Linked DNA regions of Arabidopsis thaliana. The protein of the gene in region 2 interacts with the protein of the main gene of each other region in a pairwise test. Each region holds a gene or a part of one and is shown on either strand. Other genes may lie near its edges.

Evidence for each region. Proteins that work in one complex are often made in the same cells at the same time.
Region 1: the proteins of AT5G58750 (region 2) and PRA1.B4 interact in a two-hybrid assay, tested with the Arabidopsis thaliana proteins (one large-scale study listed by BioGRID).
Region 3: the proteins of AT5G58750 (region 2) and PRA1.B5 interact in a two-hybrid assay, tested with the Arabidopsis thaliana proteins (one large-scale study listed by BioGRID).

Annotation. Positions count from the first base shown.
Region 1 is NC_003071.7:16,068,812-16,072,475, forward strand, and holds PRA1.B4 (prenylated RAB acceptor 1.B4), read right to left. Parts: upstream 1,854-3,664; 5' UTR 1,692-1,853; coding exon 1,029-1,691; 3' UTR 575-1,028; downstream 1-574. Other genes in the region: AT2G38350 (uncharacterized protein), read left to right, coding at 258-497; AT2G38365 (endonuclease/glycosyl hydrolase), read left to right, coding at 2,119-2,439; AT2G38370 (weak chloroplast movement under blue light protein (DUF827)), read right to left, coding at 3,373-3,664. UniProt on the Arabidopsis thaliana protein: May be involved in both secretory and endocytic intracellular trafficking in the endosomal/prevacuolar compartments.
Region 2 is NC_003076.8:23,726,585-23,730,685, reverse strand, and holds AT5G58750 (NAD(P)-binding Rossmann-fold superfamily protein), read right to left. Parts: upstream 2,099-4,101; 5' UTR 1,801-2,098; coding exon 640-1,800; 3' UTR 544-639; downstream 1-543. Other genes in the region: AT5G58740 (HSP20-like chaperones superfamily protein), read left to right, coding at 3,158-3,206, 3,308-3,456, 3,571-3,619, 3,924-4,066.
Region 3 is NC_003076.8:240,638-244,297, forward strand, and holds PRA1.B5 (prenylated RAB acceptor 1.B5), read right to left. Parts: upstream 1,686-3,660; 5' UTR 1,477-1,685; coding exon 805-1,476; 3' UTR 575-804; downstream 1-574. Other genes in the region: BRCA2B (BRCA2-like B), read right to left, coding at 1-34, 121-274; AT5G01650 (Tautomerase/MIF superfamily protein), read right to left, coding at 2,430-2,486, 2,611-2,811, 3,286-3,396. UniProt on the Arabidopsis thaliana protein: May be involved in both secretory and endocytic intracellular trafficking in the endosomal/prevacuolar compartments.

The DNA.
Region 1 (3,664 bases), on a different chromosome or scaffold from region 2:
CGCAAAGAACAATTTCTAAGTCACTGGCATTGACAAATCCCAAGTTCAAGGAGATTCTAGTTTCCGAGGTCAATACAACTTAGGATATTGCTTTGCTTTTGGTTATAGAGATATTTGCGACTAAGACTTTGTACTTTTTTGTAATTTACTAATTTTCGTTGATGGAAGATGTCAAATTGGTGACTTATACCGTAAGCTAAAACCCTTAAAAAGATAAGAATGTAAGGTGGATTGTCACCCAATACTATTAATTTTAGGTAAGTAACAAATCATTTTTAAAACGAAGCTTCCTTGTTGGCTTAGGGTATACGCCACCAATTCGATATTTCATAGACATTGGGCCTTTGCCGAACTGGACTCGAAAAGAAGTAAATGAGCTTATACTGGGCCGGACTCGAGTACGAAGCCCAATACTAAAGCTGCTCATCGAATTATTTGTGCATCGCATTTGCTCCGACCCACGATTTCAAGTCAAGTCAAGTAGCGTAAATGCGTAATGTGGATATTGTTCTGCTGCTCATCCTCAATAGGAAGTAATTTCCTTTCGTTAAATCCTACGACTCTGATCCAGGTCTGTCTTATGATGGGTGCTTTTGAAAACTGGTGAAATTTGGATGGATCTTGCATGCACATGCATCCAAATTTGACTCTTTTGATTGTATACACGCAGTGCAATGTAGTCACATAACAAATCAAAAGATGGCTACAAGTTCTAATAAACAGATCCATTGCATTTTGAATTTGATCATGAAATAAATCCATATCTTCCAAAACAACACTTGTAAATTAAAAAAGGCTAAAGATTAACACAAAACGGTAGTAAAACTTCATCAAATCAAAATCATGCAAAGATATATATTTCATCTATAGCTATTGCCCATGAACAAGAACCAAAATTAGGCCAGATCCACAACATTTTCACGTTTATTGTTTTCAGATTAAAAAAACAAAATCTAAGTATCAAATTCAACAAATGAATCATATAGAAAGATTTACCCAGGCGAGGGAATGGTAGATCGGAATCGCATTTACACGCGAGCGGCGATAACAGCAGGCGCGGCTGAAGAGGCGGCACCACCGAGGAAAGAGAGGAATCCGGTAGCAGCAGGCTCTTGCTCATCAAGGAAAAGATCTTCCGGAGCTCTAAAAGCACCATGAGCACAGATCAACGCAACACCAATCATCATAGCCGAAACCAGAACAGATCCAACATCGGTGAGGAAGATCACAAAGATACTGAACAAAATCAAACACCCTAACGTCTCACGATCGGAGAATGTACGACCGAATAGAACGATCGGCTGATCCGTGGGACGGAACAAGTAGAGGAAGAGCCACGACGCGAGGAGACAGAGGAGGAAGACGAGAGAGAAAGGATGAGTGACGAGAGAGAATCCGACGATCGCTGTAGCGACGGTGAGGTAATTAACCTTGAAATACGAGTAATTCTTGCGGATACGAACAGCAGCGTCGGAGATCGACTCAGGTTTGGATAATGCGGAACGATCCGCGAGCTCAGCCCAAGGACGACGCTTAGAGAGACCGTTTTTAACGGTTTCGGTGATCTGATTGATGAAATTGCGGAAAGCTGGAGTAGCGATCGGTGGTTGAGATTCGACGGAGGAAGGAGCGGCGGATGGAACGGTTTGGGGATTGGAGATTGGGAGGACTGGTGGTGCTGAGGAAGCCATTGGAGATCAAGTTTGGTAGATCTGAGAAAGAGAGAAGAATTAGGGTTGAAGAAATTGAAGAATTGGGCAAGATCTGATTAATAAATTAAAGAGGGAAGGAGAGATAGATTTGTTTTATATACGGGTATGAGAAAATTGTTGACCTTCCTATTTCTTTCGTTGCTACGGGTCACCGACAATAAACGTGACTCTTTTCCTTTTTGGTTTTCCTATTATTATTTGATTTAATTATGATCTATATTAGGTTAAATCTCGTGTTTTAGGGAGATAAATGTTAAAGAGTTTTATATTTATATCTATTTTTTCCAAAATTTTAAAAGTGAATGAAACTATTATATTGAATTTTATTTTTCCGATAACGGTATATTACTATTTAATCAAGATTTATTAAGGTAATGGATACATTCTATGATTTTTGGAGGAGCTTATGTTATGGACAGTTGACCGGACACGTATACCAACTAATCTCATGGTAATCTCAAGCAAAATCACAGATGACTGCTCGTACGTCAAGTGTCTTTCGTTTATGATGAAAAGCAGGACTGGGAATATTCTCTTAGCTCAGCCTGAGAACTTGGCTCATGATGATGATTTATCACAATCGCTTCTTAGTCAAGTAACTGCAGTGTGGCTTTGGACAAGCCTATCATATGGAGGAAAGCCTATCTTCAATCGTGGGATCTCACAACTGGTCACCAAGAAGTGGACAAGTACTTCAGTTCAAGGGGAGACTTCAGTTAACCAATAACAGAAACGATGATGGTTATGAGACAGAGGATTACACAAAGGTGGGTGAGTCATCTTCAACACAGAGAACACCAATAACCATGTCTCGCTCCCGGCTCCACAAGAGATTTCGCCGCGGCTGAGATTGGCGTCTTCTGGGACATGGAGGTTGGTGATTGGGACTTGGGAGTGAACTCTTTTAACTCTTTTATTCAAATCTTTCAGTTTGTTTTCTTTCAATGAAAAGCTGATGGAAAGTCTCAGTAGTTTTGATCAATGCGTTATTGATTAGGCAGTCTTGTTGATTTCTTGAGATGTAAGTCATTTAAATCTCTTGTCTACTACAATGGTTTTGTGGCTTAAAGAGGTGTCAGAGAGTTGGCCAAAACAGAGGCGAATGCAGAGTCAAGTGTTTTGGCAATTTGTCAATGCTATATCATATGTGGCTACTACTGCAGCTATACACATTGCCAACAACAATCCATTGTTTCATTAACGCACCAAAGTCATATTGTGAGAAGAAGAATCCAAGCTACTTTGATCATGGCTCTACACTTACGAAGAGAGAATTAACTAGGAGATGTGTTTACAAAACCATTGTTTCCTAATCATGTTCCAAGTCTCATTGGATATTAGATACTACCTCAGTTTAAAATGATAAGTTTGTTAGTCCCTTGAGTCATATGATGATTTAGTTAGTCTCTTAACTGATTGTTCTATGTATACATATTAACTCTCAGAGTATAAAAGAAGCTTTGTAATAGAATTAAGTTACTGAAAAATTCCATACTTCATCATCTTCTCTGTTTCGTTTCTCTGTCAATGCTAATATGGTCGTATTGGGATTAATTAGCCTAGATTAGCATTATAATAAAGCACTTGATGATACACTTTGTTTTCTTAAACTACTGGTTCACGTACAAAACAGAAAGAAGTCATCAACAGATTCAAAATATCACCTTAAGTTCAAAGCTATCTTTTTCTTCTTCTTCTTGTTCTTGCTCTCTTTGTTCAACAACACAGAGATCTTAGCAAATCCGAAACTCTTTCTCTTTCGAGTCTTCGTCCTTTTCTCATTCTCTTTCCCTTCACTTCTCTTGCTTACAGTTTTATCACTACTGCTATTCTTTGCAAGCATCTGACCCAACGACATTTTTCTTCTCTCATTAGCAACATTCATATCTGAATCCTCTGCAAGAAGTAGCTTCTTGCTCAGTATTTGTCCTATTGACATTGTTGGTTTCAAG
Region 2 (4,101 bases):
CTTGTACAGAGTCTGTTTTAGTAGCATCCCCTGTTTTGCCTTTGGCGGCAATTTTGCTTCTTTTTTCTTTTGGGGGCGCATGATCGGCTTTTGTATGGCATTTTCTTGAAATCCTTTTTGGTGATTCTTAAGTATGAATTGTAGTAAGTATGTGGAATGGATCAATCTTGAATCTTCTCTTCAGTTTTTACTCTCCCCTGTTTTCTCTTACTTGTTGGAATGATTCTTGATCTCGCTGAGTGAAGAGTGGAGACATGGGATGAAATGTCTTTACTCTTACGTCATCTTGACAGCCAAAACTCATCTGTACTACGTATGCAATAACATCGATAAACAAACTGAGTCCAGCTAATCATCTTGTTGTTGTCTCAAGTATGGTCTGCCACTACTTCATCTTATTATATGTCACAATACATTCACATTTGTTCGGACGCGTTTACGAAACCTGACTGGAATTTTGGTTATCCACTGCTTGGAATCTAACTTAGCTATTGCATTTCACTGCAAAGGATTTATGTTTAATGATTTAGCTTAAAAGGATTTGTGGAAAGCTCATTATTCAAACAAACAAAACTTACATGAGGATTATTGATCAAGTACATATATACCGTGATCTACATTGCTAATGTACAACATGTGTTACAAAGGAATGAGTTTTTCATCTCTCATCACATCAATCCAATACAAAACCGAATCTAGGGTTCTATATTTCCTCTTAAACCCAAACCTATCTACTTTTTCTCTTTTCCCAAGAAGCTTAAACGGACATCTAAACAGAGCATCCAAGAAATACCAATTCGCCAAATCCTCAATCTCTGTCCTAACAAGCTTCTCCTTCACAACAATCTCATCCCACACATGTTTTCTCTCAACCATCTCTCTCCCAAACCAGAAACCTTCATCAAACATGGTTGTTTCGTTAACTTGTACACCAAGTTTCTTCCCTATTTCCGGCCAAATCTCCTTCCAAGTAAACCCTACTCCATTAATGGCGTTAAAAGCTTCCCCTTTCTCGCGTACTTTCCCACTTGTTGCAGCGAATATATGCTGCTCCGCGACTAAATTCGAATCAGAGCCATCTATGTAACTCTCTTCCCAACATTCTCTTGTTCCTCCAAACACAAAAGGAAGATTCAAATACTTACACATCGCTCCATAAACACAAAGACTTCCCATGAAGTTGTACAGAGTTCTTGAAGAGCTTCCCATTAGCAAACCAGGTCTTTGAACCGACCAAACAACGGAACTACGAGTGATCTTCTCCTTCAGCAAGTCCTCCAAAACATAGTAGAAATTCTTCCCAGAGCTCTTTCTTGGACACTCCTCGCTGTAATAATACAAACTCGAACCTTCTCCACGAGCCATTGTCTCTTCCACCAAAGACACATAATGCTTCATCCCCGTTTGAAGCGAGAAATGCTTTAACCTCTTAGCGTTTGGGAGAATCGCGTCCAAAGCGTTCATCAGCATCGTCTTGTTCTGTACGCAACATTCGTCGGTATCCAATGGAAACTCACCAGACCACGTGACCCAAAACACGTGACTCACGATGTCTTGTAATGGAGACAACCTCTGTTTAGTCTCAGATGCGTTAAGCAGATCGCAGGAGATGAAGTTGTACATCTTCGTCATGGAATTGATCTCCGGGTTACGCGCTACGCCGTAGATTCTCCATCCTGGTTTAGACATTAATAGCGTCTTAACAATCTCTCGACCCACAAGCCCGGTGACGCCAAAGATTAACGCTACATTCTCGTCTACTTCGTTTCTTCTCATCAAGCTGCCATTTTCAGACCCCATTGTGATTATTAGTGAGTTATGGACTTTGATCAAAGCTTCATATAAACGCTTAGAGTAAAGACAAAAAAAGTTTGTGGGACTGATTCAACGTGTTTTAGGATAGTTTCAAGACTCGATGCTTACCTGTTTTAAAGGCTATGATAAATTATCCAAAGCAAGTTGCTTTGAACACAGCTACGATGTAGCATAACGAAGCAACATTTGTTTAAGATAAAATAGACTAAAGTCAAACAGTGTTTTGGGTTTCATGTTAACGTGTTTATCAATTTAATTTGTGGTTCTGGAATGTGTTACGAAAGCAACAGTTGTTACAATAGTTTTTTAAGGAACCGTCGTGTACAGCATTTTGTCCGGTTCTCAATCGGACGGTCAAGATTTTGCGAGAGGCAGAGTCTGGCCCGTGGTTGCTGGCCGGCTTTTAAAATTATAGTACACTTCAAGTGGGTCTCTACTCTAATAGTATTCATTTTAGTTAACAGTCTCACCGGTCAAAACCGAATATTAGCCGACAACTTATTCAATGAACTAGTTATATATACACTCGTGAGTCGTGATGATTGTTTTTTCATAACTAGAACTCATGTACCCGAAACCAAACCGATTTGAGATCTAACTGTCGTTCGATTCATGCAGTGGCCAAACATGTATCATATCGAATTTCATCAAATGAAACAAGTTGACCAATGGAATTGAGAAAGTAAGTTTTTGGATTAGCGAAATGGAAGACCATAATTTACATTATCAAACAACTTTTTGATTGATCAAAATTATTCTTCTGTTATAAGTCAAAGTCTTTGATCACGTATAACGTTTTAATATGAGAAAATTGAATAACTACCCTGTCTACGTTGAAGAAACTGAAAGGGGGAAATGGGTACAGTGTATCTCTTGTCCCAAAGGACATTGAAAAGCTAAAAAACTAACACACTTGGCTACGTTTAAGGCTTTAAAATGGACCATGTTTTGTGGTAGACCTACACATTACTCTTCTTTCAATTTTGTTTTCCTCCGTATTCTATGCATTGAATAGACCCACTTCTCATCTTTAAATTTTCTGTGGAATTGTGAAAGAGTGTTCTACTTTGGCGACAACAAAAAAATGTTTCTTGGAACTTGGAAGAACTTCAATAAAACGGCATGGAGTTTTGACTTCCAAGTTAGAAACGGAGTGTACCTCAAGAAAAGGGATCTAAGCGTAAATAACTAAAACTAAGAACCCTAAAAGAAAATACATGATTATGAAAGGACTGAATCATAAATGCCTGTCCTCCAATGTTGAGACGAATTGAAAAGGAACCAGAACAACTACTATCAACGGTGATCGATTTCGCCGGGAACGGAGAAGAAAACCCTAGATATGGCGGAGAAGCTTGCGCCAGAGAAGAGACACGATTTCATTCACAATGGTTTCTCGCTTTCTCTATCCCCTCGCTCTATTTCTCTAATTTCAGCTGATTCCATTTCACGAGATTTGGTTTGAATGTTCTTCGATTTCCGATGGTTATAGGTCAAAAGGTATTTGAGTGGGATCAAACCCTGGAAGAAGTGAACATGTACATAACTTTGCCGCCAAATGTTCATCCAAAGTCATTCCACTGCAAAATCCAGTCGAAACATATCGAAGTTGGCATCAAAGGCAACCCTCCCTATCTCAATGTCAGTTTCTTTCGCTATCTTTCAATGTTTTTGATCCGTTTGTCTCATAAATCTGAGTTATTCGATGTGGTATATATAACTCGATTCAATTGTCTAAATTTTGTCAATTTTCAGCACGATCTTAGTGCTCCTGTGAAGACTGATTGCTCGTTCTGGACTCTAGGTACTCCATTTTTTGTTTTTGTGTCTGTATTGGGTGCTTGTTTTTGATGGTTAGGTTTCTGTTTTTAGACCCGTTCACTATTGCTAGAGAGGATAAACTGAACCTGGAAATGTGATCTGAGTTTGGTATAAATAGTGGGACATATAGTTTGGAATGTGGAAAATTTGAGACTAATGGAGGGATGATGGAATGTACAGTATATTTTGGGTTATATTATCAGCGTATGTAAGTTACTGGCATAGTTTTTTTAGGTTCATAGTCTGGCACTGATTGCTAATCTGGATTGTTATGTTTGATTTGGCAGAGGATGATATAATGCACATTACCCTGCAGAAGAGGGAGAAAGGGCAAACATGGGCATCACCGATTCTGGGACAGGGTCAGTTAGATCCTTACGCCACTGATCTTGAGCAGAAGCGGCTCATGCTCCAGAGGTTTCAAGAAGAGGTTAGCTACCTGTAAAAGTCCTCTTGGTTTCATAT
Region 3 (3,660 bases), about 23 Mb from region 2:
ATCGATTCTTCCCGTTCTATAAGCTTCGAGCATCCTTGAAGCATCAAATAATAATTCAATCTCCTTTGAGTCACATGACAAACACGATTCGACAAAGAAAAGGAAGATACGAAGAATCACCTTGGAGCAAGAGATCGGCCATGGAAGGTAGAGGAGCTGTCGATTCGAGCGCCTTGGTTGGCGTAGAATCCGAGACGGACTGAAGAATCCGGCCAGCGACTTCCCACCGGAAACCATCGCCGCTGGAATCGGAAAATAAATGCCACGTCGACATTTATTCAGTTCTAGGGTTTCCAAGTTTTCCGATTCGTCGTTATATGATTCAGCCGGAGAACTAAACCTCGCGATTCAGAATTGCCTACCACGCCAAGAGGGAGGAGTCGGGAGTGCGGAATTTTTATTTTTATTGTTTTATTTTCTTTCCCCAAACCAAAATCATCACCAAAAATCCAAAAAGTTAAAAGTTCTGACAAAGGCGGGAAAGTTGAAAAAGATTTGGGCCGAAATTATGAGACGCGTGGTTTTATTTTAACTTTGGGCTTGGTTTTTACGGACATAGCGTTCCAAGACAAGTGTGATATTGCCACGGCCTTTTATTGCGGTAACTAACGGCACGAATGCTAACCCGAAATCGTTCCAAACAATAATTGCTTACGTGGACATTTTAAAACATCTGTTCAATGTGATTGGTGACTGACTTCAATGAAAATTACATTGCAACAATGGTCAAGTATCACAGAAAATTACATTGCAACAATCTCCACCTTCAAATCTCTAAACACGCCAGATTCTGAGAACTATAATTTACACGGGGGAAGCCGCTGAGGAGGCAGAGGGTGCTACAGAGGGGATCGCGGGAACACCGATGAATGAGAGGAATCCGGAGGCGGCATGATCTTGTTCGTCGAGGAAGAGATCATCGGGAGCTCTAAAGGCGCCATGGACACAGATTGTTGCTATTCCGATCATGAGAGCGGATATCAATACAGATCCGACGCTTGTGAAGAAGATCACTGCGATCGTGGAGAGGATTAGGCCACCGAGAGTTTCGTATTCGGAGAAAGATCGGCCGAAGAGGATAAGAGGACGATCTGATGGACGGAAGAGGTAGAGGAAGAGCCAGGAAGCGGCGAGACATAGGAGGAGGATGAGAGAGAATGGGTGGGCGAGAAGAGAGAAACCAAGGATCAGAGCGACAATGCAAACGTAATTCACCCTGAAATAAGAGGAATTTTTCCGGAATCGCGTCCCGGCCTCGGAGAGAGAGTCAGGCTTTGTGAAAGCGGATCGATCGAGGAGCTCTGACCACGGACGGCTACGAGATAGACCACCACAGACCGTCTCGGTCACACCGTTGACAAATGCACGGACGACTGGAGGTTGCGATTCCACCACAGCGGTTACAATCGGAGGCTGATTGGTGGTGTCTGTTGCGGTGGTGGAAATTGGAAGAACAGGGGGATTTGTTGACACCATTCGATTTTGTTCTTTTGGGATTTTGAGATTGGAAAATTTTAGGAGACGAATGATTTAGAGGTTGCTGAAGTTGCGGTAGTGTTATGTATATATAGGATCACAATTACGCGTCTTTCAACTTTGATTATACACCTTGCTTCATCTGATAGCTAATCTATATTCATTTGCTAAAATAAAAATAAAAATAACCTCCTGATATTATAACTCAGGTTATTTTTTTGCTTAACGTAGTTTATACAATAATTCTTGATTACTTAGGCAAAGTGCATTTGACCATTAATGTTCCAGTCACAGGAAGTTTCCCTAATAGAAAATATTTTTAACACAATGTTGATCTGTCATATGGAGTAGTAGACTTGACAATGTCAAATCCTTTTTTCTTTGATAACATTCATCTTCGAATTCTAAACATAATTATATCTAACGAGTAGACAAAGACTAAATAACCATTGTTTACCCTGATAGTAAGTTGTAGCATCATATATAGCATAAATGTTATTTCTTAATGCAACTCCATCAAACCTTAGATATGTTTACAATACGAAGTAGTTCAAAGTTACTTGATCGATGAGAGTAGATCATACATTTCAAGACAATCACACTAATCACCTACCACGGAATTAAAGAGTCGCCCCGTTCCAACCAAAGAAGGATCCCTGCAAGAAGAACCACACGAGAAAAGAAATGTATAATTGATATATCAGGTGGTTATAGGCATAAACACTCCAGATGATGGATGACCCTCTAAGCCAGTTAGACAACGGATTTAGAGAAGTTGAACGAATCTCCTAAATAACTCAACAGTGTGGGTGTAAAGATTGAATTCGAGTAGTGGAACGGTTTATGCATTTGATTTAATTGTTTATAATGCCTAGTTTATGAGTAAAAGTTATAGGTCCGTCTTATGATGATGAACTTACACACATAAGATGTATTTGTTCCCTATTCATGACCTAGTAGTGCTGGTGTAAAGCGTGTAAACATTGTGCATATTCTTGACTTTGATGGTCCTAGAGAGACAACGAACAATGAAAATGAGACATGGACGCATATCGGGCATATGAAATCATTAACACATTTGCATATGTTATGTCACTACATCAAAAAAGTTATCAGAGAGAGGGAATTGCTTGCCTTGGTGTCATAAAACTTGAGGAAGAATCGAGACTTGGGCACCGATAGCTTAGTCTCAAGAATGGCGGAAACAGCAGCGCTTAGCTTCTTGTTCACATCCGCATTAAGGCCACCGATAGAAACTAATTCACCATAAGCTGCAGGATCCTCGGTCCCGCCAAATGACATAGGCACTGAGCCTTTCAAGACAATCATCACATACTGCAAATTACCACAATGAACAATGCAATCAGATAATGATCTAAGAAACAACATTACAGGACAAAAATATTTAAACATCACTAACATAAACAAGCAATCGTCAAAGCAGACCAATATTGTTTTTGAAAACAAACTTCAGCAATGAGAAATTCAAGGGCCAGGAATGGCCTAGAAATCGTGGTAAAATAAAAAAGAAGAACCCCAACGAAGATTGTACAAATAAGTCAAGAGAAGACTCCGGAAATGTGAACCACTAGAATAGAACGGAGCAACGAGATAAAATTGCTTAGGGTTTCTATATCATGCATGTGAAGAAAACAACACTCGAATCGCTGTTATTCAATAAGGAGAAGAAAATGATTAAGAGATAAAGACGCACACAAGGCAAATCTCAGGAGAAAACGAAGAATCGAAACAAAATTCGAACAGAACGAAACGAACTAGAGGTTAAATCGAGAGAGAAAAAGGGATTACGTTCTCAGGCTTGCCGATGATTTTCGCGACGGTGGAGGAAGCTTCCGAGAGAATGGAAGATGTATCGACGCCGTCAAGGTTAACGTTGGTGGAGAGGTTGAGGCACGGCATTTTCTTCTTCTTCTTCGTCTCTATCACTCGACGCCAATTTTTTTTAGTCAAGCGGATAAAGAGAGTAAGACCACCCAGGAATTTTCCCCTTTTATCCTTAAACCTTTTTTATTCGCTTAGGCCCAAGCCCATCGTTTTTACGTTTGCATTCTCGTTTCGAAGATTCTTTCAAACGCTCTGATGAAGTGATTTTGGATTATTTTGTTTAGAAATGGGCCTTAATCTAGTTATAAAAGCCCGCTCAAATTTGAGTGCCCAGGAACG